7 linked regions of the Oryctolagus cuniculus genome follow. The protein of the gene in region 1 purifies or fractionates together with the protein of each later gene. This does not show direct contact. Links are inferred from orthologs where the notes say so. Each region holds a gene or a part of one and is shown in the gene's direction. Other genes may lie near its edges. The genes, in order: ZMYND8, CHD4, MTA1, ZNF687, HDAC1, MTA3 and MTA2.

What was found.
Region 2: the proteins of ZMYND8 (region 1) and CHD4 purify together in Homo sapiens (affinity purification with mass spectrometry; 7 studies listed by BioGRID and IntAct, with this or other methods). This does not show direct contact. The link is inferred for Oryctolagus cuniculus from reciprocal best matches to the Homo sapiens genes ZMYND8 and CHD4.
Region 3: the proteins of ZMYND8 (region 1) and MTA1 purify together in Homo sapiens (affinity purification with mass spectrometry; 3 studies listed by BioGRID and IntAct, with this or other methods). This does not show direct contact. The link is inferred for Oryctolagus cuniculus from reciprocal best matches to the Homo sapiens genes ZMYND8 and MTA1.
Region 4: the proteins of ZMYND8 (region 1) and ZNF687 purify together in Homo sapiens (affinity purification with mass spectrometry; 4 studies listed by BioGRID and IntAct, with this or other methods). This does not show direct contact. The link is inferred for Oryctolagus cuniculus from reciprocal best matches to the Homo sapiens genes ZMYND8 and ZNF687.
Region 5: the proteins of ZMYND8 (region 1) and HDAC1 purify together in Homo sapiens (affinity purification with mass spectrometry; 7 studies listed by BioGRID and IntAct, with this or other methods). This does not show direct contact. The link is inferred for Oryctolagus cuniculus from reciprocal best matches to the Homo sapiens genes ZMYND8 and HDAC1.
Region 6: the proteins of ZMYND8 (region 1) and MTA3 purify together in Homo sapiens (affinity purification with mass spectrometry, with the first as the bait; 3 studies listed by BioGRID). This does not show direct contact. The link is inferred for Oryctolagus cuniculus from reciprocal best matches to the Homo sapiens genes ZMYND8 and MTA3.
Region 7: the proteins of ZMYND8 (region 1) and MTA2 purify together in Homo sapiens (affinity purification with mass spectrometry; 3 studies listed by BioGRID and IntAct, with this or other methods). This does not show direct contact. The link is inferred for Oryctolagus cuniculus from reciprocal best matches to the Homo sapiens genes ZMYND8 and MTA2.

What each region holds. Positions count from the first base shown.
Region 1 is NC_091442.1:12,527,391-12,530,890, forward strand, and holds part of ZMYND8 (MYND-type zinc finger-containing chromatin reader ZMYND8), read left to right. Parts: intron 1-1,520; coding exon 1,521-1,681; intron 1,682-2,319; coding exon 2,320-2,386; intron 2,387-3,500. UniProt on the Homo sapiens protein: Chromatin reader that recognizes dual histone modifications such as histone H3.1 dimethylated at 'Lys-36' and histone H4 acetylated at 'Lys-16' (H3.1K36me2-H4K16ac) and histone H3 methylated at 'Lys-4' and histone H4 acetylated at 'Lys-14' (H3K4me1-H3K14ac).
Region 2 is NC_091440.1:102,900,495-102,904,528, forward strand, and holds the start of CHD4 (chromodomain-helicase-DNA-binding protein 4), read left to right. Parts: upstream 1-1,234; 5' UTR 1,235-1,520; intron 1,521-2,005; exon of another isoform or gene 2,006-2,230; intron 2,231-2,364; 5' UTR 2,365-2,445; coding exon 2,446-2,545; intron 2,546-4,034. UniProt on the Homo sapiens protein: ATP-dependent chromatin-remodeling factor that binds and distorts nucleosomal DNA. Acts as a component of the histone deacetylase NuRD complex which participates in the remodeling of chromatin.
Region 3 is NC_091451.1:47,286,007-47,289,506, forward strand, and holds part of MTA1 (metastasis-associated protein MTA1), read left to right. Parts: intron 1-1,066; coding exon 1,067-1,160; intron 1,161-3,307; coding exon 3,308-3,358; intron 3,359-3,500. UniProt on the Homo sapiens protein: Transcriptional coregulator which can act as both a transcriptional corepressor and coactivator. Acts as a component of the histone deacetylase NuRD complex which participates in the remodeling of chromatin.
Region 4 is NC_091438.1:46,810,594-46,813,406, reverse strand, and holds the end of ZNF687 (zinc finger protein 687), read left to right. Parts: coding exon 1-66; intron 67-196; coding exon 197-544; intron 545-624; coding exon 625-737; intron 738-920; coding exon 921-1,062; intron 1,063-1,159; coding exon 1,160-1,657; 3' UTR 1,658-2,313; downstream 2,314-2,813. UniProt on the Homo sapiens protein: May be involved in transcriptional regulation.
Region 5 is NC_091438.1:140,171,729-140,175,228, reverse strand, and holds part of HDAC1 (histone deacetylase 1), read left to right. Parts: intron 1-67; coding exon 68-180; intron 181-3,500. UniProt on the Homo sapiens protein: Histone deacetylase that catalyzes the deacetylation of lysine residues on the N-terminal part of the core histones (H2A, H2B, H3 and H4).
Region 6 is NC_091433.1:159,917,043-159,920,542, reverse strand, and holds part of MTA3 (metastasis-associated protein MTA3), read left to right. Parts: intron 1-2,207; coding exon 2,208-2,359; intron 2,360-3,184; coding exon 3,185-3,407; intron 3,408-3,500. UniProt on the Homo sapiens protein: Acts as a component of the histone deacetylase NuRD complex which participates in the remodeling of chromatin.
Region 7 is NC_091432.1:8,957,400-8,960,572, forward strand, and holds part of MTA2 (metastasis-associated protein MTA2), read left to right. Parts: intron 1-167; coding exon 168-285; intron 286-410; coding exon 411-474; intron 475-655; coding exon 656-773; intron 774-1,417; coding exon 1,418-1,520; intron 1,521-1,716; coding exon 1,717-1,816; intron 1,817-1,984; coding exon 1,985-2,173; intron 2,174-2,281; coding exon 2,282-2,356; intron 2,357-2,459; coding exon 2,460-2,518; intron 2,519-2,674; coding exon 2,675-2,772; intron 2,773-2,898; coding exon 2,899-3,038; intron 3,039-3,173. UniProt on the Homo sapiens protein: May function as a transcriptional coregulator. Acts as a component of the histone deacetylase NuRD complex which participates in the remodeling of chromatin.

The sequences.
Region 1 (3,500 bases):
CATCTGTCTGTCTCCACGTGGGCCCCGGAAGCCCCTGAGCGACGGCAGTGCACAAGGTCGCCTCCCCCAGCACAGCCATCTCGGCCAGAGACGCTGCAGTTGTGGCCGGGAGGGACCTGAGCTTTAGATGGTGGCCTGGGCCTGCAGCGGGAGACTGTTAGAATTTGTCGGAATTTTAAAAGCAGATTTTCCATTGCATGTGATAGTAGGTTTGTGTGCTTAGAATTAAAAGTCTCCGTTGTGAAGACTTTGTGAGCGGTCCGGGTGGCCCTCTGTTTCTGTGGGTCCCAGCCTGGGACAGAAAATGTTCCAAGAAAGAAATAGCATTTGTAGGGATGTGAGCGTACCCCACCCCCAACACCCCATGTCCATACTCGCCAAACGATGCACTGCGACTCTGTTTCTGTAGCGTTTCCATCGTATTGGGATGTTACAGGGGTCTGGTGTGCAGGAGGCATGTGCAGATGCCGCGCAAATACTTTGCCGTTGCATGGAAGGGGCTTGCGCGTCCGTGGGCTCTGGGACGTGTCACGGGGCCCTGCGCACCGAGAGCTGACGTGTGGTATCAGTCATACGAGCTCGCGTCAGGCAACCCCTGCAGAGGTGATTTGTGGATGACTCGGGTTTGAGAGGCTGGAGACCAGGGATTGGCAGCCATTCTCGGGGAAGGCCCCCGTGAATATTTTGGGCTTTGGGGACTGTGTGGCCCCCATCACCGCTGGTCACCCCTGCCCTGGCAGCCCAGAAGCAGCCACCGACAGCCTGGGCACGGGTGGGCGTGGCTGCAGCCAGCAGAACTGTTTCCGGATTTCTCTGATTCTTGCTCTCGACAGACCTCTGGGATTTTGTCAAGGGCAGTACAGGAGCGCACTGCTGTGTGCCTTTTATTTTTATTTTTTTAAAGATTTGTTTATTTGAAAGGCAAAGTGAGCTGTAACCTTCCCTAGGGACCTGGCTTCCCTGCAGCGACTTGCAGTCCCCCCTGCTGTGGTGGCCAGTTGTCCCTGAGTTCTCCAGCGCGCCCGAGCAGCCCCTCGCTGTGTCCCTGTTGGCCCAGATGGCCTTGGTTATTCCACTTTTGAGGCACGGGACACCTGCTCTCTGCAGATCTCCCTCCGGCGCCCTGTGCTTGCCCAGGGTCCTGCCTCTGCTCTGCTCCTCCCAAGCATTGCTTTCCCACCTGGGGCTAAGGCAGGTCTGAACCTAGAATGAGACCCCTCTGGTCACACACTGCCTCCAGCTAGGGGCACTCTGTCATTGCCGGGTGGTTTAATAAAACGTGGGATGCACACTGTTCGGAATTGCCCCAGCTCTGGACACCTCTGGGGAGCCCCCCACTTCGGGCCTGCCCTCCTGCTCCAGTCCCAGGCTGGGCTGGGCGGGCGGCAGCTGCCTTTGCAGACGGGGTGGGGTCAGAGTTGGTGCTGGGCCGCGGGCCGCGTGGGCTGGAGCAGGGCTCCACGCAGGGCCCCAGTCCGCCATACTCAGTCCCCGTGTGGCTCCTCTCTTCTTCCTCCCAGCTACTGCCCCGCAGCAGGAAGCTGACGCCGAGGTGAACACGGAAACCGTCAGCAAGTCAACCCAGGGGAGCTCCGCCAGCACCCAGGCGGCCGCCCCGGAGACGCCCAGCACCCCCAAAGAGAAGGAGGCGTCCGCCGAGAAGAGCAAAGACAGCAGCTCGGTGAGGGCCCTGGCCTTGGGCCCGTGACCCCAGCTCTCCCCCCCCACCCCGGCCATGCCTGCCAGCCCTGGAAGCCTCGTGCTTGTCCGTCTGGGGCAGTGATGGAGTTGTGTGTGTGTGTGTGTGTGTGTGTGTGTTTAATTATTAGAGGGGAGAGGAGACAGGTCTTCCATCTGCTGGTTCACTCCCCAGATGGCCGCAACAGCCTTAGTCATGAGCCAAGGCTGTTTCAGGGCGAGCACTGATCATCTTTCCCACGTTTATCCTTTTGCATTTATTTCTTGGCGTTAGGAATGAATGAATCACTGGGCTGTCAGTAAAGCCCTTTGGTTTCTTTGCTAGCCCTGCCCGTGAGGCTCCATCATGGAACACGTCTGTGGTGTGATGTGGAAGTCAGCGGCTTCTTCCTTGGGAATGGGGAAGGTCTGGAGAATGGGAAGGTGGGGAATGTTCTAGATCAGAGACCCTCAGGGTGCTCCCCGTCTGTGCTCTCGACCGTTCCTTCACGCTGGGGGCAGAGCACGAGGTGCGTGACCACGCCAGGCCCGGGCGCTGGGTCGCCTCGGGGTGGTGTGAGTGCCCCCAGCGGCCCGCTGGCCCCGCGGCCTGGGTCCATCCTTCTCTCTCTGTGTTTCCAGACCCTCGACCTTTCTGGCTCCAGAGACACACCCTCCTCCATTCTCCTAGGCACCAACCAAGGCACAGGTAGGTCATTCCCCGCCGCTGACCGTGGGCACCGGGCACTGTGCGCCACGGAGGGACAGGGTTGATGGCAGCGGTTTTCCTACTGCTCCAGGTCCTGCGAGATGCCACGGGTGGGTCGGGGGCAGCTGGGCGAGTCAGCCTTCAGGCAGGTCCCTGGGCCCATCGGCGTCGGCCGGCCGCACGTGGTGCATTTACTGTGGACCACCGGGAGCTTTGTCTGTGCGGAAGGCTCCGGGTTCACTCTGGCATGTGCTTGGCCCCAGGCTGTCCCTCTGCCCGCAGGGACGTGGCCCAGCTGTCAGTGGGGCTTCCCTGAGGTCCCAGCACCCGCGTTGGGTCCAGCTGGGTGCCTGGGCAGAGGCTGCTTTGCTGTAACAGCCTCTCTTCGCGGGTCACTTCCTAGGCTGGGCTGTCCAGGGCGGTTTTCGGAGACGTCTGGATTCCTTTTGTTCTGTTGGGCCGTCCTCCCTTCCCGGCCAGGCGGGGCTTTCTCCAGCTTGGGTCCGTCCTACAGGGGTCATCTCACTGTCGCCTCCGCTCCAGCATCTTGTCCTGTGAGGATGCGCTCCAGGTGGACCCCTGGAGCCCCCGGTCCTCTGTGTCCTGGGTGTCAGAGGAAGAACCCTGGGGCTGGGGGAGGTGTGCCAGGGTGGACGTCAGGTCAGCAGGTGTGGGGGGGCCCTGGAGCTGGCATTCGGTACCACCGCACCACCCGTTAGAGGTGCCGCTCGCCCACTTCCCTCCAGCCCTCTCGGAGGCTGTGGAGTCGCGGCGTCTCATGCTGTCTCCCGAGCGCAGACCTGCCATGGGGCCTCTGTGGAGCTTAATCCTGCACCTGTTGTCTGTGTTGATGTACAGTTCACCTTGTTTGTGGCAAGCTTTATCCATCTCCTTTTTGGTGGTAGTGATAAATAGTTAACCCTGCACCAGGCAGTTGTGGGAGGGCAGGTGGGTCACAGAGGGGTGGGGTGGGTGATGCCTGGGAGGTGTGGGGTCTGTTGGAATTGGGGGTCACACATAGGAAGGTGTCAGGAGAGGCGTCGTAGTCCATTTCTGAGGTCAGCAAGGGGTACCTAGACCAGGGGTCGGCAAGCAACATACAGACGGGGGAGAC
Region 2 (4,034 bases), on another chromosome or scaffold:
GGTGTTCTGGGGCAAATTAAACTTTATGTAAATGTTTCATCTGATCAGCATGGTATCTGGTTAGTCTTACTCAAAACTATGAGCTGGAAGTAAACATCTGGAAAATACTTGGATTTTGGTGAGACTGGGGTGGAGCCCTAGGTTGGTGGTGCTCAGCTGCTGAGTGTCTGGAAATGACCGGATGAGGGAAAATAGGGTCTTAGACATCTAGACATCAAGAAACTGTTTATGCCAGGATACTGCTCTGGCCGAGGAAGGGAATAAGGTGTGTGCAAGTGGGGGCGGGTACAGGGCAGTGTGGGTAGCCTGTCTCTCCCAGCTCTGGGTGTTAGAACAGACTGACAGCTTCTGCAGGTGGGGGAGGTAGGCACAGGAGTATTATGGGATGCCTGGCTGAGTGGAGATGGAGCATTATGGGATGTGACACTGGGTTGTGCTGGGAGTATTATGGTATGTCTGCTTGACCACAGGTTCCTTGAAATTATGGGATGTCAGGGTGTGGGTGGGGGAGTAAAATTATTATGGGATGTTTTTGCAGTGTTAGGAAAGGTTAGATGTTCATCTGGGGGGGTGACAGTGGGGCTGCTGATCATTATGGGATATCTTTTTGACAGGGGGGGAGTGGAGCTAGAAGGAGAGCATGAAGGCTGGGCGTGGAGTTGTAAGCATTCTAGACCCTAGCCTTCTGGGACTGAGGGCAGCTCTAGGGGGTTGGTTATTATGGGATGTCAGTATAGAAAGTGGGAGACTGATTATTATGGGATGTGTGTGGGAGGAGGCCGAGTGTCCGTTGTAGTATGTGTGTGTGGGGGGTGAGTTTCTGATTATTATGGGATATCAAGCTGGGGGTGGATGAAGGGTGGTTATTATGGGATGTCTGTGGGGGGGTGGGGATGAGTATTATGGGATATGAGGCTGAAGTACTGGGAGGGGTGCTTATTATGGGATGGCCCTGGGGAGGGAGAGGTGATGAATTATTATGGGATGTTAGCATTAGAGCCAAGAGTGAAGAAGTTGGCAAAGGATGGTTATTATGGGATGTCAGAGAGAGGAGAGGGTTAGTTGCAAAAGGCCGGTAGTATTATGTCAGCCGCCCCCCCACCGCATATATGTATAAGGAGTGTGGGGGGGAAATCGGTGTGTGTGAGTGTATGTGGGGTGTCCGTGTGTATTATGGGATGGCCAGGAGGTGGGCGGTTGCCCGGGTGACGCGCGCGCGCTCGCGCGCTCTGAGGGGGCGTGGCCAATGGTTGCCTGAGCGACGAGGGGGCGGGGGTTGCCCGGGAGACCTAGGGAGGAGGGTGGCGGTAGTGGAGGGGGGGTTGGAGTTGGTTGAGGTTATTATGGGCTGTCCGTGGGGGGGCGGGGCCTGTGCGGTGGGATTTCCCGGCCGGTGTTTCGGGCCCTTTAAGAGGCGACGCCGGAGCCGGAGCCATTTTCCCCCCTTCGGCCGCGGCGAGGAGGAGCCGGAGCGGGAGTGACAACCGGCCGGACCCAGCACGACCTGCGGCGGCTCGAGGGTGAGGAGAGTGCCGGTTTTCCGCAGGGACGCTCCCCTCAGCCCGACAAACCCCGAGAGCCATCCCCTCAGCCGCTCCTTCCTCGGGCTCCTCAGACCCGCGGACCGCCCCCTGCCCTGAGGGGCCGACTCTTCCCTTCCCTTCCCTGCAGGGTGCCTGGCTTCCCCCCACCCCCGCCCCGCTCCCCGCGACCCCCGGCTCGGGCTGGGTCTCCCACAATGCCCGGCGCCCGCCCCCTCGCCCTTTGCTCACTTGCCCCCCGGGACACGTGGCCCGGCCCCCTTCCGGGTGGGCGCTCTCCTGCCCCCCACGTCCCTGCCTCCGGACCCCCCCACCCCCCGGCGCACCCGAGCCTCCACGCCCCCCTGGTCCCCGCGGCTCCGGAGCAGAACCTGAGTTGTCCCAGAGGACAGCCCTTGGAGAGCTGCCCTGTCTGGGAACTGGCCCCTCCCAGGGCGCAGGGAGGCGCCCCCCCACCCCCAAGTGACCTTGTGTCCCCGAGCGCCTCGCCGCCGGCCGCCTCGCCGCCCCCCCAGCCCGCGCCGCGGTCACTCGGACCCCCTCCCCCGTCACACCCTGCTTGGGCCGGGCCGGCTGCTCCCCTCCCCACGCCTGCACCAGTCTGTCCTCGGGGGCGTCGCTGCCTCTCTTCGCGGGGGCGCTTGTTGGGGCGCCGGCTTCCGGGCTGCCCCCGAGGAGTGTGGAACTAAGTTCAGCCTGAGTGGTTCGGGTGCCCTGCCGGGGTGGCTGGGGTTGGGGGGGTGGCGGAAAGAACGGGTGGGGGTGGGGGAGGGGGCCGGTGCGCGTCACTGACTGTTCTCTTTCTCCCCCCTCCCCCGCACAGTGACTCGGGCCAGTGTAGAGGGCCCCAGGCCGCAGGCAGGAGCAGCTGGGCCGATTCCCTGGCCGGGAGCAGCGGAAGGGGATGGCGTCGGGCCTGGGCTCACCGTCCCCCTGCTCAGCGGGCAGTGAGGAGGAGGATATGGATGCACTTTTGAACAACAGCCTGCCCCCACCCCACCCAGGTAACACCTTCCCAGGGGCCCGGGGGCAGGAAGGAGGCCTTTGTGCCCTCCCTAGTGACTGCGAAGGCAGGGCGTTGTGGCTGGCTGTGCAGAGCCCGAGGTGGAAGGGCATCCGAAGGGAGTGGTTCCCTTTGAGGAGCTCTTGTGTGAGGGGGGTGGCAGCCATGCGCCTCCCGGGCACCACGGGCCCAGATGCGAGCTTGCTGCACCCGCTTGTCTGGAGGAATGCCGTGCAGTTCCCGGCTGAGGGAGCTCTCCCGACTGGCAGGCGTTCCCTTGCGTGGGTCTGGGGAGCACCGCAGGTCGCTGGGACCCTGCGGGGGGGGGGGGCTCTTTGGGGGTAGTGGAGGCGTTGGAGGGTGCAGTCGGAGGAGCCTGTGGTCACTGCTGTGGGAAAGACAGAGGGAGTGTTGGTTGCTTGCTATCTGATTATTTTTAGCTTCTGATCAGTTACCGGTTTTCTGTGCTGTTTCAACTGTGTGAAGTTTGAATCTCGCTCCCTAGCAGGATCTACAGTGCTTCTGGCAAATTGCTGGAATGTTTTGAGTGGGGCTGTGATGGGGCCTTGGGGGGGGATTTAGTAGCCTGAGGAGCCTCCCATGAGGGGGCAGGAGGAGTTAGGGCCCCTCTCTTCTCTGCCCAGTGGCCATGAGGCTGGCTTTTTTCCCTAGAGGCTGCTTTTTGCCTGTGATGTAGCCTGGGGTTTGTGCTGGCAGTGTCTAATGTTTGTGTGGGTGTGTTAGGGGTTGCGCTATCTGTGTTTTGGGGTGGCTCCGTGAACTGGCCAAACCCGTATGGTTATAACCAGCCTGCCCAATTGGAATAGCCCTTCTCTGCCCTCAGATGAGGGCTGATGTCATGGACCTCGGCGCTGTCTCCCTCGTCCTCTCAGAGCCCCTATCTAATGCACCTGCTTGTTTTCTTGACCTCTTTTTTCCCTTGAGGGCCATGTTTCATCCTCTCTGCTTCTACTTTTCTGACTGTGGAGCCCACTGGTCCTGTTTTATTTCCCATCAATCGTTTTCCACTTCTGCCTTCTCTCTCAGCTGCAGCTGGAAGTTGAGGTGGTCCGGGAGAGATGCTTTCGTATCTGGCATTTTCTGAGTTGGAATTCTTCACATCGAGCAGGTCATTTAGGAGAGGGGTCAGTCTTGTTACTGGGTTTCCCGGTATTGGGTCAGAAACTTAGGCTTGAGGTTCATTGCTGTGCAGAGCGGGGTTTGCCTTTGCCCAGGGTGGGGGCTGGGCGCTGGGGGTGGGTGGCAGCGAGGTGAGGAGAGCCTATCTTTTCTGTGCTGGGAGGAGTAGTGGTGCTGTCTGGCCACGGTTGGTTCTGCATCTTGGCCTCCCATTGGGCCCTTGGTCTGGGACTGTCCCCCAAATTGCTAGCAGTTGTGCAGGCTTCCAGGGTGAACTCTGCCCCAAGCTGCAGCATGACCCAGTTTTTCCACTTGCCACACCCCATTCCTGCCCCTTTCCCAAATCTCTG
Region 3 (3,500 bases), on another chromosome or scaffold:
GCTGATCCGAAGCCAGGAGCCAAGAGCTTCTTCCAGATCTCCCACGTGGATGCAGAGGCCCAAGCACTTGGGCCATCTTCTTTTTTTTTTTTTTTTAAAGATTTATTTATTTGAAAGACAGTTACAGAGAGAGGTAGAGACAGAGAAAAAGGTCTTCCATCCACTGATTCACTCCCCAGATGGCCACAACAGCTGGAGCTGCGGCGATCCGAAGCCAGGAGCCAGGAGCTTCTTCTGGGTCTCCCATGTGGGTGCAGGGGCCCAAGTACCTGGGCCATTTTCTGCTCTCCCAGGCCATAGTAGGGAGCTGAATTGGAAGAGGAGCAGCTGGGATTAGAACCGGCGCCCATATGGGTTGCCAGTGCTTCAGGCCAGGGCATTAACCTGCTGAGCTGCAGCGCTGGCCCCAGGCCATAGCAGAGAGCTGGAACCGGCGCCCACTGGGATGCCGACACAGCAGGTGGCAGCTCTACCTGCTACACCACAGCACTGCCCCCACCTTGTGCACCATTTTTTAAAAAAACCTTTTGTGCTCCACTCTGGTGGCTGGTGTCCAAGCGTTGTAAGGGTGAGCTGAGCCCGGTGGCACAGCAGAAGCGTGGCTGATGGGTTTAGGGCCATCAGAGCTGTGGGTGCTCAGCTCGTGTGGCCCTCATCGCACACAGACGGCGAGGGGCTGGGCTGCTGCGGGTCCCCTTCAGCCTGTGCCTGTCCTGGCACCTGCTTGGCCCACGTGGCCTGGCTGGAGGGCCAGTGCTGTTCAGAGTCGCCTCTGAGGCTTTCCAGGGCCGAGCCGGGCCAAGGTGGGTGGGGTTGGCAGGCTGCTGGGGCGGGGCTCCTGGAGCTGGTGTGACCCCCCCGCCCCTCGTGTTCTGCCCTGGGCCCCGGGCGGGGGGCGAGTCCTTGGTGCATCAGCTCCCTGGGGTTCTCTCCCTGCCGGGGTCCCCGACCCCAGGGGCCTCAAGGTGCCTCGGGGGTCTGCTGCGTGTGTGCTGTGCCCGCCCCTGGGGTCACGCCTGGGGCCTGCAGGAGGGGCGGTGCTCCTGACCTCTGCTTGCTGTTGCAGACGGCCAGCGGGAACGTGGAGGCCAAGGTGGTGTGCTTCTACCGCAGGCGGGACATCTCCAGCACGCTCATCGCCCTGGCCGACAAGCATGCCAGTGAGTCCGGCGGCCCCTGGCCTGGCAGGGAGGGCTGGGGGTCCCAGGGCTCCGCCGCGGCCACGGGAGGCCGCCTTCTGCTTCTTCTGTTCTCTCCTCTCTGTCTGCCCTCGGAGCCCTGGCTGATCACTCGTGAGCTGTCGCCCCGCTGGCCCTTCTGCGCTCACTGAGTCCCTGCTGTCGTGGGCTGGAGCCGGGCTGCTCCTTTTGGGGCCTCCGGAAGGTCCCCAGGCTCCGCCCGTGGCAGGGGGGCCAGGCTCAGCCTGGACTGGACTCACTGGCTCTTTGCATTTGCTGAGAGGGTCCCTCCTGTCGTCCTGAGAGCGGTGTCCCTCTTGGGGTTCATTCTGGTGAGCCCCGAAGGGGCATGGGGAGGCTCCCGCGTGTCACCTGCCACAGGTGCTGGACTGGTGGAGTTGCCCCTGCTGGGGGTGCGTGGCCGGGAGCAGGGCGGCCTGAGGCCCTCGTCTGCGGACCATGCCGCAGGCCACAGCGGGCCTTTCCTGCTGAAGGCTGTCCGGGGCCGCTTGGTTCTGTCACTGGGGTGGGACCTGCGCGTGCCCGGGTGGCCTTGCAGGAGGGTTGGGCAGGGCTTTCTTGGGCGTGGGGTGAGGTGAGGCGCTCCGTGCCGTGGGCCCAGCCGGCGTCTCTGGCGCTGGTTGTGAGTGAGCCTCTGCTGGCGGCTCAGGGAGGAGGTTGTGGGGCTGCTGGGCTCTGTGTCCTGGGCAGGCCCCCAGTGGGGGAAGGGCGGAGCAAGCTCTTGGCCGAGCCCCACAGGCTGCAAGCTTCCGGGGAAGCATCCGTTTGGCCCAGGGCTGGGTCTGGCTTCGTGGAGAGTTGGGCTTGTAGGTGGTCCCCCAGAGGTGGGGAGCCTGAGGAGTGGGGGAAGCCGGACGCTGCCCTTCGTCCCCCAGCCCGTGAGCTGCACGGCCCAGCAGTGTGGCTCCCGGGGCTGGCACAGTGGCTCCTGCTCCTGCCGGGGCCTGTCCCTCCCCATGGGCAGCTGGCCAGGGCTGGGCTAGCCATGGCAGCCTGTGCGTCCTGGTGGGTAGAGGGCCTGGGTGGACTGAGGGTACCGTGGCTCCCCCTGGAAGCTGGTCAGGGCTGGAGGGAGCCCCAGGCCGTGCAGCTCTGGTTGCCAGAGAGGCAGGTTTCCCAGCTGCGGCTGTTTCCTTGGAAAGCTGTCGCAAGAGGCAGGGTCTGTGTAGGACTCTCATCCTGGGCTTGTGGGGGGGGGGGCATGAAGGTTTGAACGGAGATCCTTGACCCCTGCTCAGTGCCCAGCGCAGGCCTCAGGCAGGAGGCCGGACCCCTGCAGGCCTCGTCCCCGATAGCCTCTCGGTCAGGTTGTGGTCGGAGCCTTCCCTCCTCCCTCTGAAGCAAGGCACGGTGACACAGGAGCCCAGGAGAGGGACTGGGCATTCCCATGGCCAGGCAGGACCTGGGGAGGGCTCCTCCCTCCTGAGGCTGTAGTGTGGCTGTTTCCTGGGCTGGTGCTGGGTGTGGGGTCCCAGTCTCCAGTCTGCACCCAGCATGGGGAGGTGGTGTGAGGCTTGCTGGGGGTGTACAGACCCGGGTGCCATCCTTAGCACACTCAGGGGCCCTGGACTGCTGGGATGGGGGCTGCTGTAGCGTGGGGAGGGTCTCAGCAGAGCTCCTGAGTATGGGCCAGGCCTGCCTGGAACAGCCCCAGATTATCCAGATTGATTGAAATGGCAAAAGTCTTGTTTTTCCCTGAGCTGGGCAAGGTGTTAGGACTTCCTGCAGCCACCACTAGGGGCAGCAGAGAGCCATCAGGCTGCACTGATTGGGGAGAGGGACAGAGACATGACCGTGGCCTCCAGAGGGCATTCTGTTGTTTAGTGCAGGGCAGGGGCCAGCAGCCTGGGTGTCCAGGGGCAGGCTCTGGAGGTCTCGCTCCCAGCTGGGGAGGTGGGAGTGTGTACAGGAGGGGTTCTTAGTGACAGCTTGTCAGGGCTCTGCCCGAAGGGGCTGGGGCACTGGGGTGGGCTGGGGCCCACTAGGAGGCCTGTGGCCCCCGTGTCCGCCCTGCCCCCTGGCCACGCAGCCCTGGGTCAGGCCCGGGCAGGGAGAGAGTGGCCGCGGCGCTGACACTGCCGCCTGGGCGCTGTCTGTCTGTTGCATAGCCTTGTCAGTCTGCCATAAAGCCGGACCGGGCGCCGACAGCGGCGAGGAAGGTAAGAGCTGCCCTCTGTGAGGACGCATCCTCGCGCCTGCCCCGGGCGGAACCTGCGCAGGCCGCCTGCATGCAGCCCGGCCCCGAGGGTGTCCTGCAGCTGCAGCGGGCCCTGCTGCGGCCATGCGGGGCCGCCTGGCCAC
Region 4 (2,813 bases), on another chromosome or scaffold:
GTCTTTAAGTGTCCGTCTTGTCCTCTGCTCTTTGCTCAAAAAAGGACCATGCTGGAACATCTCAAGGTACAAGGGTGGGGTGAGGGCCCTGGACCAGCCGACTTGGACTAGGGCCCCACAACCCTCGGTGGGGGAGGGGGCCGGCAAAGGCAGGCCTGCCCCCACAGCAGCCCTCCCCCTTGTCTGCCTCCTACAGAACACTCATCAGTCTGGGCGCGTGGGGGAGGAGACTGCAGGGAAAGGGACTGGGGGTGCCCCTCTGACCCCCAAGACTGAGCCTGAGGAGCTGGCCGTGTCTCAGGGAGGGGCGGCTGCCGCCACCGCCACTGCTGCTACCGAGGAGTCGTCTTCATCTTCCGAAGAGGAGGAACCGCCTAGCTCCCCCGAGCCCCCCCGCTCGACCAAGCGGCCCCGGCGGGAGCTAGGGGGCAAAGGCATCAAGGGCGGGGGCGGGGGGCCCGGAGGCTGGACCTGCGGCCTGTGTCACTCCTGGTTCCCTGAGCGGGACGAGTACGTGGCGCACATGAAGAAGGAGCATGGCAAGGTGAGTGGGCGGGTGGCGAGGTGGGCCGGAGGGCGGCTTTGGGATGGGCCAGGCACTGAGGGGCCCCCCTGCTCTCCTAGTCGGTGAAGAAGTTTCCCTGCCGCCTGTGTGAGCGCTCCTTCTGCTCTGCCCCCAGCCTGAGGCGTCATGTCAGGGTCAACCACGAGGGCATCAAGAGAGTTTATCCTTGCAGGTACCCCCTGCCCAGCCCCAGCCCTGCCCCTCACCCCTGAAGTACCCCCTCAGTCGCCTCTGGTTGAAGCAGACTTCAATTTGAGACCTCCCTCTGCTCCGGTGGCTCCTTCCTCAGGAGCCGTGGGACCTGACTGCGTGCGGGCTGTGCCCGCTGCCACCCTGCTCACTCTTGGCCTTCCAGGTATTGCACAGAGGGAAAGCGCACCTTCAGCAGCCGCCTGATCCTGGAGAAGCACGTCCAGGTCCGGCACGGCTTGCAGCTCGGGGCCCAGTCCCCTGGCCGAGGGAATGCCTTGGCCCGGGGCCCTGGTGCCAGAGCCCAGGTAGGCAGAGGCTTGGCCTGCTCTTAGGGACTCGGAGGTGGGAGACCACAGGGACAGTGCGGGTGATGGTGAGGCCGTCTCTCCTGCTCTTCCCCAGGGGCCGGGACGGAAACGCCGCCCGTCTTCGGACTCGTGCAGTGAGGAGCCTGACAGCACAACACCTCCGGCCAAGTCCCCCAGGGGTGGCCCTGGGTCAGGAGACCATGGCCCCCTGCGCTACCGGAGCAGTGGCTCAACGGAACAGAGCCTCCTGGTGGGGTTGAGGGTGGACGGCGGTGCCCAGCAGTGCCTCGACTGCGGCCTGTGCTTCGCCTCCCCTGGCTCCCTGAGCCGGCACCGGTTCATCAGCCACAAGAAGAGACGGGGTGTGGGTAGAGCCAGTGCCCTGGGGCTGGGGGATGGGGAGGAAGAGGCCCCCCCTCCGGCGAGGTCTGACCCAGAGGGTGGAGACTCACCCCTGGCTGCCTCTGGAGGCCCGCTGACCTGCAAGGTCTGCGGCAAGAGCTGCGACAGCCCGCTCAACCTCAAGACCCATTTCCGCACACATGGCATGGCCTTCATCAGGGCACGGCAGGGGGGCAGTGGGGACAACTAAGCCCCGAGCCTGGGACTAGTCAGCCCCTCCGTCTTTCCCAGGAGCCTGGGTTTCACTGCTGCTGCCTCTTGGTCCCTGGACTGGGATGTTTCATTAACATTCACATTTTGTTCATTTCCTCTCCCCTGGAGAAAGCTTTTGAGGATTATAGTTGTTTGCAAAGCCCCCCTCTCCCGCACACCCCTTGGGGTTCGGCCCACAGGTCCTAGTAGAGTGGCCCTCCATTCCTCCCTTCTGAACCCGACACTAATTCTGCTCCTGCTGCAGATGCCCAGTGTGGAACTGGAGCTGGGCGGCTGGGACTGCGGTGCATCTGCTGACAGGCACAGGGAGGACCCAGGGGAGGGCTGTCAGGGGACTCCCAGGCATGGACTGTAGCCTTCCTTCTCTGGGCCAGGCCCGGCCCCAGCACCCTCCCCCGCGCCTGGCACTCAAGCCCCCCACTCCTGCAGTGCCTTTCACTTGTCTTTTTTTTTCCCCCGCAGAAATTCCAGGGAGGGGGGTCGGTGGGGATGAGTCCTGTCGGGGGGGCCCAGGGAGAGGAGGGGACAGGCTCTCAGGAATCCTTTATTCTTGTAGTAATAATAATACTAACAGTGGGAGAAAACAGGAGGGAGAGAACCAGACCATTAAAACTGCTCGTGGTTTAATCCCCATTCAGTCTCCTCTTTTTGTGACTTGGACAATGTGGACTGGCCAGGGGGGGCTGCGAGTGAGAACTGGGGAGGCCCTTTTCCGGGAAGAGGTGGCTCTGGCCAGGACAGCCAGGGAAAAGGAGTCCCCCTCCCGGGTGTGGTGCCTTTTGTCTCCTGGACGCCAGGGCATCTGTTCACTCATTACCCTCCTGCCCCAAAAGACCCAACTTGGATGACACAGATGGCTAACTAAGGACTTTATTTCAAACAAGAGTTAAAAATAAAAAATTGAGAGCCATTTCCCTGGGTGTGGGGAAGGGACCAGGGTAAGGAACCACAGCTAGGCCGATACCCTCAATACGCTGGGGGGTTGTGGTGATTCCCTTCCTCACCCCCGCTTCGGGGCAGCTCAGCAAGTGCGGGACCCCACAGCAGAGCCGCTGTGAAAGAGCTCGGCCTGGGGTCAGTCCCTGGGAGGGGACAGAGTTGGGCAGCAGCATGGCCAAAGGCCAACCACAGGA
Region 5 (3,500 bases), on another chromosome or scaffold:
GTAAAAATTCCTGGGTTCTCCTGGGAGTATGTGTCTAACGGTCATCAGAACTCTCCCTGTTCTTCAGGTGATGTTGGGAATTACTACTATGGACAAGGCCATCCAATGAAGCCTCACCGGATCCGCATGACTCACAACTTGCTGCTCAACTATGGTCTCTACCGGAAAATGGAAATCTATGTGAGTTACTTACTGCGAGTGTTCCCCTCTGTTACCTCATCAGCTCTGGTCCCCCAAATGCCATTTACTATCTGATTTTCTAAACCATGCACTCATTAAGCAAATGTGGGCATTGGCCTATCAGTTAAGATGCTTGTGTTCCACTTCGGAGCACTTGTATTCAATTCCCAGCTGCAGGAGACCCCCATATAAATAAATCATACTGCAGTGTGTAAGAGCAACAGTTTAGAAAATGTGCAAGATGCAGAGATAATGAGGAAGGAAGGAGGAAAGGGGGCTTGAATTGATTCTAGGAAGTGATATATGAGAAATTTTAAAGATTGAATAGAATTTAGCCTGGAGGGGCTGGTGTTGTGTAGTGGGTAAAGCCACTCCCTGCCAAGCTGGCATCCCATATGGGTGCTGGTTCATGTCTTGGCTGCTCTACTTGTTTGTTTATTTATTTTTAAGATTTACTTATTTATTTGAAAGGTAGAGTTACAGAGACAGAGAGAGACAGAGACAGAGAGAGACAGAGAGAGGTCTTCTGTCTTTTGGATCACTCCCAAAATGGCTGCAATGGCTGGAGCTGGGCCAATCTGAAGCCAGAAGCCTGGAGCTTCTTCTGGGTCTCCCATGTGGTTTCAAGGGCCCAAGCACTTGGGTCTATCTTCTACTGCTTTCCAGGCCATAGCAGACAGATGGATTGAAAATGGAGCAGCCGGGACTTGAACCAGCATCCCATATGGATGCTGGCACTGCAGGCGGCAGCTTTACCTGCTATGCCACGGTGCCGGCCCCTGCTCCACTTCTGACCCAGCTCCCTGCTAATGTCCTGAGAAAAGCAGCTAAACATGGCCCAAGTGCTTGAGTCCCTGCCATCAAGTAGGAGACCCAGATGAAGCTCCTGGCTCCTGGCTTCAGCCTGGCCCAGCCCTGGCCATTGCAGCCATCTGGGGGGTGAACCAGCAGATGGAAGAGCTCTGACTTTGAAATAAATAAATAAATCTTACAAAAAATTATCCTTGAGTTCAGGAGGGGACTGGTAGGGGGAAGAATATATGCAGTATATGCATATGCATATTATATATGCAAAAAGGCTGAGGTATTTGAGGAAAAATCCGTTTTTTTTTTTTTTTTTTTTGTTTTGTTTTTTTTGACAGGCAGAGTGGACAGTGAGAGAGAGAGACAGAGAGAAAGGTCTTCCTTTGCCGTTGGTTCACCCTCCAATGGCCGCCGCGGCCAGCGCGATGTGGCCGGCGCACCGTGCTGATCCGATGGCAGGAGCCAGGAGCCAGGTGCTTTTCCTGGTCTCCCATGGGGTGCAGGGCCCAAGCACCTGGGCCATCCTCCACTGCACTCCCGGGCCACAGCAGAGGGCTGGCCTGGAAGAGGGGCAACCGGGACAGAATCCGGCGCCCCAACCGGGACTAGAACCCGGTGTGCCGGCGCCGCTAGGCGGAGGATTAGCCTAGTGAGCCGCGGCGCCGGCCGAAAAATCCGTTTTTATGTGTAGGGATACAATGTGAATTCACAGACGTGAGGCAGGGCGTAGAGCTGGAGAGGTCAGCCAGCGTTGGATGTGCTGTGCTAAACCACTCTTGTAGGCCAGGGTCGGAAATCCAGTGGCTAAAAAAGGAGTGACTGGGGATCGTGTTGGACAAGTTGCCAAGTCTGTGGTTACGAGAGAGTGTAGGCTTCTGTCTAACCACCAGTCTCAGCTCCACTTGATTCTACCTGGTCTTCCAGATTTTAAGAAGCTGGAAATCCAAATTAGTATGCAAAACCTCCTCGGTTTAAAATGTTGGCACAGGGTTTTTGTTTTAAATGTTTGTATATAAAACACATCAATACACGTGCGGACCAAATGTGGTTCGGTGGTTCCCAATTTAATCTGTTCTGGAGGTGGTGGGGGAAAAGTGAAAGGTTTTAAATAAAAGATATAAGAATAGATAGGCATGTATTTTACAAGCAGGTAGGCCACTTAGGAGCCTGTTGCTAGAGTCCAAGTGAGAAAATAAAGAGGGGCTGGGGGCCCATGTTGCTTTATGGCGTGGTGCCTGCTGTTAAAGGCTGTACTGACAGTTTGAGTAACCTAGCAACAGCAGCATCCTTCTCACCATTCCAGAGACTGAAAGGAGATGAGTCTTCTGTCCCAGATGGCTTTGTCGTGTCTCTGGAGCTGGTGGAGCCAACTGGGGAAGGTAGACAGGGCGAGCAGACCTTGGGACCACAGTGCTTTATCAGGTGTGAAGAACAGGTGGGGAAGAAAGCATACAAGGCAGCAGAGGTTTTCAGGAACTCTGGGGAGCCGCCTAGCTCTTTCTATCAAGGAGAAAAACTCCCCAGGAGCTTCCCAATACACTCCCCCTTACCTCCCATCATCTCATTCCTGAGACCACTCACCAGTGTAGACGGATAGAATTACCAGAGCTGGCCTAGGCTAATCATGATTCTATTCCTAGGGCTGGGTACATTTTGTTACCAAGGAAGAAGGAACAGGATGGCTCTTTGGGAAGCAACCAGTAGTAACTTCCTTATGGGAGGTGAATTTCCCTGTGGTGTTCTTATAAACTTTTTTTTTTTTTTAAGATTTATTCATTTATTTGAAAGACAGAAAGGCAGAGTTATGGACAGAGAGAGGGAGAGACAGAGAGAGAGAGAGATCTTCTATCCATTGGTTTACCTCCGAATGGCTGCAACAGCGTAGCTAAGCCAGTCTGAAGCCAGGAGCCAAGAGCTTCTTCCTGGTCTCCCACATGGGTGCAGGGGCCCAAACACTTGGGCTACCCATCCTGCTTTCCCAAGCGCATTAGCTGGGAGCTGGATCAGAAGTGGATTGAGGCCGGCGCTGCGGCTCACTAGGCTAATCCTCCACCTGCGGCACCAGTACCCTGGGTTCTGTCCTCGGTTGCTCCTCTTCCAGTCCAGCTCTCTGCTGTGGCCCAGGAGTGCAGGGGAGGATGGCCCAAGTGCTTGGGCCCTGCACCCACATGGGAGACCAGGAAGAAGCACCTGGCTCCTGGCTTTGGATCGGCGCAGCACGCCGGCCATAACGGCCATTTGGGGAGTAACCAACAGAAGGAAGACCTTTCTCTTTGTCTCTCTCTCACTGTCTAACTGCCTGTCAAAAAAAAAAAAAAAAAAAAAGTGGATTGAACTGGCGCCCATATGGGATGACGGCTCCACAGACAGCAGCTTTACCCACTGTGCCATGGTGCCAGCCCCTATCATAAACTTTTAAAGGAAAAACCTAGTATCATCTCTCTTCCCTAATGCTAGACCTGTTGTCTTTCTCCCCCCCCCCTTTTTTTTTTATGATTTACTTATTTATTTGAAAG
Region 6 (3,500 bases), on another chromosome or scaffold:
TTATTATTATTTTTTTATTTAACAGGTGGAGTTATAGACAGTGAGAGAGAGAGACAGAGAGAAAGGTCTTCCTTCTGTTGGTTCACAACCCAAATGGCCGCTACGGCCGGCACTGCACCAATCCGAAGCCAGGAGCCAGGTGCTTCTTCCTGGTGTCCCATGTGGGTGCAGGGGCCCAAGCACTTGGGCCATCCTCCACTGCCCTCTCGGGCCACAGCAGAGAGCTGGACTGGATAGGAGCAACCAAGACTAGAACCCGAAACCCATATGTGATGCCGGTGCCACAGGTGGGGGATTAGCCAAGTGAGCCAGCCACGGCGCCGGCCCCTGTTTGTTTGTTTATTAAAGATTTATTTATTTATTTGAAAGTTAGAGTTACACAGAAAGAGAGCTTTTCCACCCGATGGTTCAATCCCCAAATGGCCACAACGGCTGGAGCTGCGGTGATCCAAAGCCAGGGGCCCAAGGACCTGGGCCATCCTCCACTGCCTTCCCGGGCCACAGCAGAGAGCTGGACTGGAAGAGGAGCAACCGGGACAGAATCCAGCACCCCAACCAGGACTAGAACTCTGGGTAGCAGCGCCGTAGGCAGAGGATTAGCCTAGTGAGCCGCGGCGCCGTCCTGCAGTTGGCATCTTAATATACACAGTTTGAGCATTGTGATCTGAAGAAGATGACTTATTACAGATCAGAAAAGAATGTGCCAAGGCAGATTTATAGCACTAGAATCATTTTCCTGCTCCTCTTCGACCTAATGTTGAAACATCAATGTTTTCTGTCTTAAACTTCATATCCATCCTGGATATACAGGTTTCTTAAATGTTAACATGGCATAATTTAAATTGCAAGATAAAATTTACACAGACTTGCAGTGTTGTTCAGCCATGTGATAAGTCAACATGTTTGGGTCTTAAAATCATGTTGTGTGTACTCATTTGATACAGATTTATAGTTTTGAACAAGAATCTGTTTTTAGAAGGAGAAATCATAACATAAGGATTTTATCTATTGATTAAAATAAAGGGTTGGAAAACAGAGACCTGTTTCTGTTAGGTTCCTAACCTTCTTAGTGGGGCCTTTCTGAGTACCTTAAATAAACCCAAGCATGGTTTATGAACCGTAGGCTTATAAACTGTGACTTAGGTTTTAAGCACTAGTAATAAACACATTATCTTTCTGAGAACTTATTCCAGAAATGTACACCAAAAAATATTTGAATTAGTGAAACAAAAAAAACTCCCTCAGAGGCACAATGTAAAATATAGGATCCCTCACCTAATAGTCTCTCTCTCTCTCTCTCTCTCTCTCTAAGATTATTTTATTTATTTGAAAGACAGAGTTACAGAGAGAGGTTGAGACAGAGAGGGCTTCTACCCACTGGTTCACTCCCCTATTGGCTGCAACGGCCGGAGCTGCGCCGATCCAAACCCAGGAGCCAGGAACTTCTTCTGGAGCTCCCACGTGGGTGCAGGGGCCCAAGGATTTGGGCCATCGTCTGCTGCTTTCCCAGGGCACAGCAGAGAGCTGGAATAGAAGTGGAACAGCTGGGACTAGAGCCGGTGTCCATATGGGATGCCGGTGCTTCAGGCCAGGGTGTTAACCCGCTGCACCACAGCACCGGCCCCCCCCTTTTTTTTTTTTTTTTTAAGATTTATTTATTTATTTATTTGAAAGGCAGAGTTAAAGAGAGGCAAAAGCAGAGAGAGAGAGAGAGAGAGAGAGAGAGAGGTCTTTCACCTGCTGGTTCACTCCCCAAATGGCTGCAATGGCTAGAGCTAGGCTGGTCCGAAGCCAGGAGCCTGAATATTCCACATGGGTGCAGGGGCCCAAGGACTTGGGCCATCTTCTGCCGCTTTCCCAGGCGCATTCATAGGGAGCTGGATTGGAAGTGGAGCAGTCATGACTTGAACCGGTGCTGATACTTAGATACTGTACATACCCACTATGCCACAGCAGCGGCCCCTAATAGCCTCTCTTAATATGCGCCACAAGTGCTTGATTTATAATAAGGATAAATGATTTAATGAAAGATACATGTGTATGTGTTGTACTTTCATACTTGGCTTATAAGTTAGGGGAAGAAAAATAATCCTATAAACTGAAAATGGCTTTGGGATGTTTTTGAAATATTTGATTATATTTATACTGATGTTACAAATTACATGGCATCCTTTTTTTTTTTCCTCTTACTTTTCTCTCATCTGTAGCTACACAGTCTCACCAGTGGTATTCTTGGGGCCCACCTAACATGCAGTGTAGATTGTGTGCAACTTGTTGGCTTTATTGGAAAAAATATGGAGGCCTGAAAATGCCCACCCAGTCAGAAGAAGAGAAGCTATCTCCCAGCCCAACCTCAGAGGTACACGAGCAGCAGTGGGTTCTAGTGTTGAAAATGTCATGCTTTTCAGTGATCAGATCATTCCCTGGAAGCAGAAATAAAATACAGGATAATGTCATAATGAGCAAAGCTGTTTTCATAACTGAACATAGCACTACTATATTCAGGGTGGGTGTGGAAAGAAGAGCAGGAAAAAATAATTTTCTCCCCAGGGATTCAAAATAATGGTCTTGGGAGATTACTCAGACAAAAGAATACTGTATGTGGGAGGTGTCAACACAACCCGAGAGTTTACAAATTAAATGTTTATTTTAACTGCTTTTGAAAACAGTGTGTAATCTTTAGATACTATTAAGCATGTCTTATTACATAAAGTAATAAATGTAAATTAAGCATTTTCTTCCTCCCTGGTCTATTGTGGAGGGACAATAAGAAATGGACTCAGTTTATCAACAATAGTTGATGCATGACTTTATAAAATCCTTCTGGATTGAAGATGTTAAGCCTGTGTCTACCAGAGGGCACCTGTTGTTGTCCAATGCTCACAGAGTCTCAGCACTCCTTGATATTAGAAAACAAAACTAAGCAAGCCTCGCTCCCTTGGCAACATGTGATTTTGGTTTGTTGCACAAAAGTACAGAATTGTACCCCCAACCCCATTCCCTTCTCTGCTCCCCACCTCCTTCCCCAGTGTGCACACTTTCCAATTCTGTCTCATAGGGGTGGAATAGTAAGTTACAGAAACTGTGGCGGGAGCTTTGAAAATTGTGCTGTTTTTAGAGCATGATGTAAACAGTAATGTCTTTGCCGAGCTCTGCTAACGTTTGTTGGTTTCTGACTTGGCAGGACCCCCGCGTCAGAAGTCACATGTCCCGCCAGGCCACACAGGGCATGCCAGTCCGGAACACTGGCAGTCCCAAGTCCGCAGTGAAGACGCGCCAAGCTTTCTTCCTTCATACTACGTATTTCACAAAGTTTGCACGTCAGGTCTGCAAAAACACTCTCCGGTTGCGGCAGGCAGCAAGACGGCCATTTGTTGCTATTAATTATGCTGCCATTAGGGCAGAATGTAAGACGTTTTTAAATTCTTAACCTCATGTGTTGTGCTTCCGACCATCCTCTCTTTCCCTCTCTTTCTCTGTGTTTTTCCCCCCTTTTGGTT
Region 7 (3,173 bases), on another chromosome or scaffold:
AACAGGGCATAGAGAAATGCTGGTGGGATAAGAGAACAGAAGGTAGATGCAGGGAGAATGTGAGAAAAACAGCTGAGCCAGGAAATATTTTCCCTGGGTAAGAGTTCCCTAGGTAGTGACTTTCTGGATTTGTGTTTGACTTGGTTTCTTCCTCCTTAACCTTGCAGGGGAGTTTGAGGAGGAATCTAAGCAGCCTGGGGTATCAGAGCAGCAGCGACATCAGCTGAAGCACCGGGAGCTTTTCCTCTCACGGCAGTTTGAGTCGTTGCCAGCTACCCACATACGGTACAGGATGATGGGGCCCAGTGTGGCCTGTGTGCACCTCTTAGGAGAGGGAGAGGAGGGTGGTGTGCTGGAAACGCCGTGGAAAGCAGGAGGACTCACCTAAGGTTTTTGGCCCTGTCCTCTAGGGGGAAGTGCAGTGTAACCCTCCTGAACGAAACAGATATCTTGAGCCAGTACCTGGAAAAGGAGGTGAGAAAGAGGCGTTCGGAGAAGAGGGAGGGAAAGGGTAATGCTCCCACAAGACAAGAGGGAAATAGGACAGTGATGAGGTATGGGGTTGGCAGACTGCCTGTCCTGGGAACTGAGGGTACTCCATTGCCCCGCCTGTCTGGATTGGTGCCCTGCTTACCTTCTGTCTCCACATCTCCAGGACTGCTTTTTTTACTCGCTGGTGTTTGACCCTGTGCAGAAGACACTCCTAGCTGATCAGGGGGAAATCAGAGTTGGTTGCAAATACCAAGCTGAGATCCCAGATCGTCTGGCAGAGGGTAAGTAACAAGAGAGACTGCATGACTACTGGTTATTTAACTCCAGTGGGCTCTTGGTTGCCATAGTGTCTGCAGATGGGGTACCTTGGAGGGGCTGGCACTTGCAAACCTGGCATCCTGTTATCAGAGTACAGGTTTGAGTCCTGGCTGCTCTTCTTCCAGTCCAGCTTCCTGCTAATGTACCTGGGAAGGCAGAGGAAGATGACCCAAGCACCTGGGCCCCTGCCATTCATGTGGGAGACCAGGATGGAGTTCCTGGCTCCTGGCTCCTGCCTGGCTCCTGCCTGGCTCCTACCTGTCTGTTGCAACCATTTGGGACTCGAGTGAACCAGCAGATGGAAGATAATATCTCTTGCTCTCTCTGTCACTCTGCCTTCTAAGTAAATAAATAGAATCTTAAAACAAAAAGGTGTGCCGAGTATACAGTACAGTCTGCAAGGTTCTCTGCAGGGGTCCTGACAGAAAGGGATCTTAGGAACTTAAAAGGCAAGGATGGGCACAGCTGGGACAAGAAATCCGAGAGTTGGGGTGGCTGATAGAATCCAAGCAGGAGAAGAGGAAAGGAAGTGCCATTATGAATTTTAAGACACCAGTTATTTTCCCTTTCGTTGTCCTGATCATACTGCCATTGCTGTCTTCCCTAGGGGAATCTGATAATCGGAACCAACAGAAGATGGAGATGAAGGTCTGGGACCCGGACAACCCTCTCACAGACCGGCAGATTGATCAGTTTCTCGTGGTGGCCCGGTGAGGGGTGGGTGGATGGGGCAGATGGGCTGGGGGAAGTGTGTATGTGGCTTTGAGTCCTACCCATTCTTAGAAATTCTTGTTCTTTATTTCTCTTTTTTATCTTTGGCATGGGTGATTTCCTTCTTCTGGCTTATTTCCTCAGCCCATTCGACTTTTCTTTTTCTTTTGTCTTAACTTCTCCTCTCTCCCTTAGAGCTGTGGGGACCTTTGCACGAGCGCTGGATTGCAGCAGCTCCATTCGGCAGCCAAGCTTGCACATGAGTGCAGCTGCCGCCTCCCGAGACATCACCCTGGTGAGCAGCAGTTGGTGGGTAGTCGGGCAGGCGGGGGTTTTGTGGGGATGCGCAGAGCCTGGGGACAGGGGAGGAGGGTGTCTCAGAGGGAGTGGGAGTGCTTACAGAGCAGCGCGAACTGGTACCCAGGCTTCAGGTCCTGAGCCTTGTTTTCCCCCTTCCCTGTAGTTTCACGCCATGGACACATTGCAAAGGAATGGCTATGACCTAGCTAAGGCCATGTCTACCCTGGTACCCCAGGGGGGCCCAGTGCTGTGTCGGGATGAGATGGAGGAATGGTCTGCCTCTGAGGCCATGTTATTTGAGGAGGCCCTTGAGAAGTATGGGAAGGATTTCAATGATATTCGCCAGGATTTTGTAAGTAGATGGGTATAGGCAGAGAGGTGGGAGAGGTAAGGGAATGAATGAATGTACCAGGCCCTGGAGCTACATGTCAGCTCATCTTTCTTCTCTCACTCTCCTTAGCTACCCTGGAAGTCACTCGCCAGCATAGTCCAATTTTATTATATGTGGAAAACCACAGACCGGTATATTCAGCAGGTATCGTCTGGGGTTGGGAGGCTGGGCTGGAAGCCACCTGTTGTGTCCTCCCTGTTGAGATGCACTGATTCTTCTCTTTTTTGTCTTTTTTCCCTTTCCACAGAAAAGATTGAAAGCTGCTGAAGCGGACAGCAAATTGAAACAGGTCTACATCCCCACCTAGTAAGTGTGGTGAGCAGGGTAGCAGTTTCCCTCTCTTTCCCCAGCTGTGTTTCCTTGGTAATTGGGGTGGGCAGAAGCCAGGGTCAAATTACGGAGGCAGGGCAGCAATGGATTCTTTTCCTTAACTATTTCTCTTTCTCCTGTTTTCCTCTTTAGCACTAAGCCAAACCCTAACCAGATTATTTCTGTGGGTTCAAAACCTGGTATGAATGGGGCTGGATTCCAGAAGGGCTTGACTTGTGAGAGCTGCCACAGTGAGTTCCAGGGGGGACAGGGTGTGGGGGGTGGCTGGGAGGCCTGCTGTGGCCCGCTGTGGCCCAAGAACCTCAGGGACTTGGGTAGCGTGTTTTGTCCCTGACCTCCTCTCTGGGTCCTTACAGCCACACAGTCTGCCCAGTGGTATGCCTGGGGCCCACCCAACATGCAGTGCCGGCTCTGTGCTTCCTGTTGGATCTACTGGAAGAAGTATGGGGGACTGAAGACCCCAACCCAGCTTGAGGGGGCTGCTCGGGGCACCACAGTAAGGATTGATGGGGTACAGGCAAGGGCCAGCAATATGCATACTGATGGGAGCTTTAGACCATATTATGCAGCTGTTCATATGATGATGGTTTGATTGGCAGGGGGTGATTGACAGTGTTGGGGAGCCAGGTGG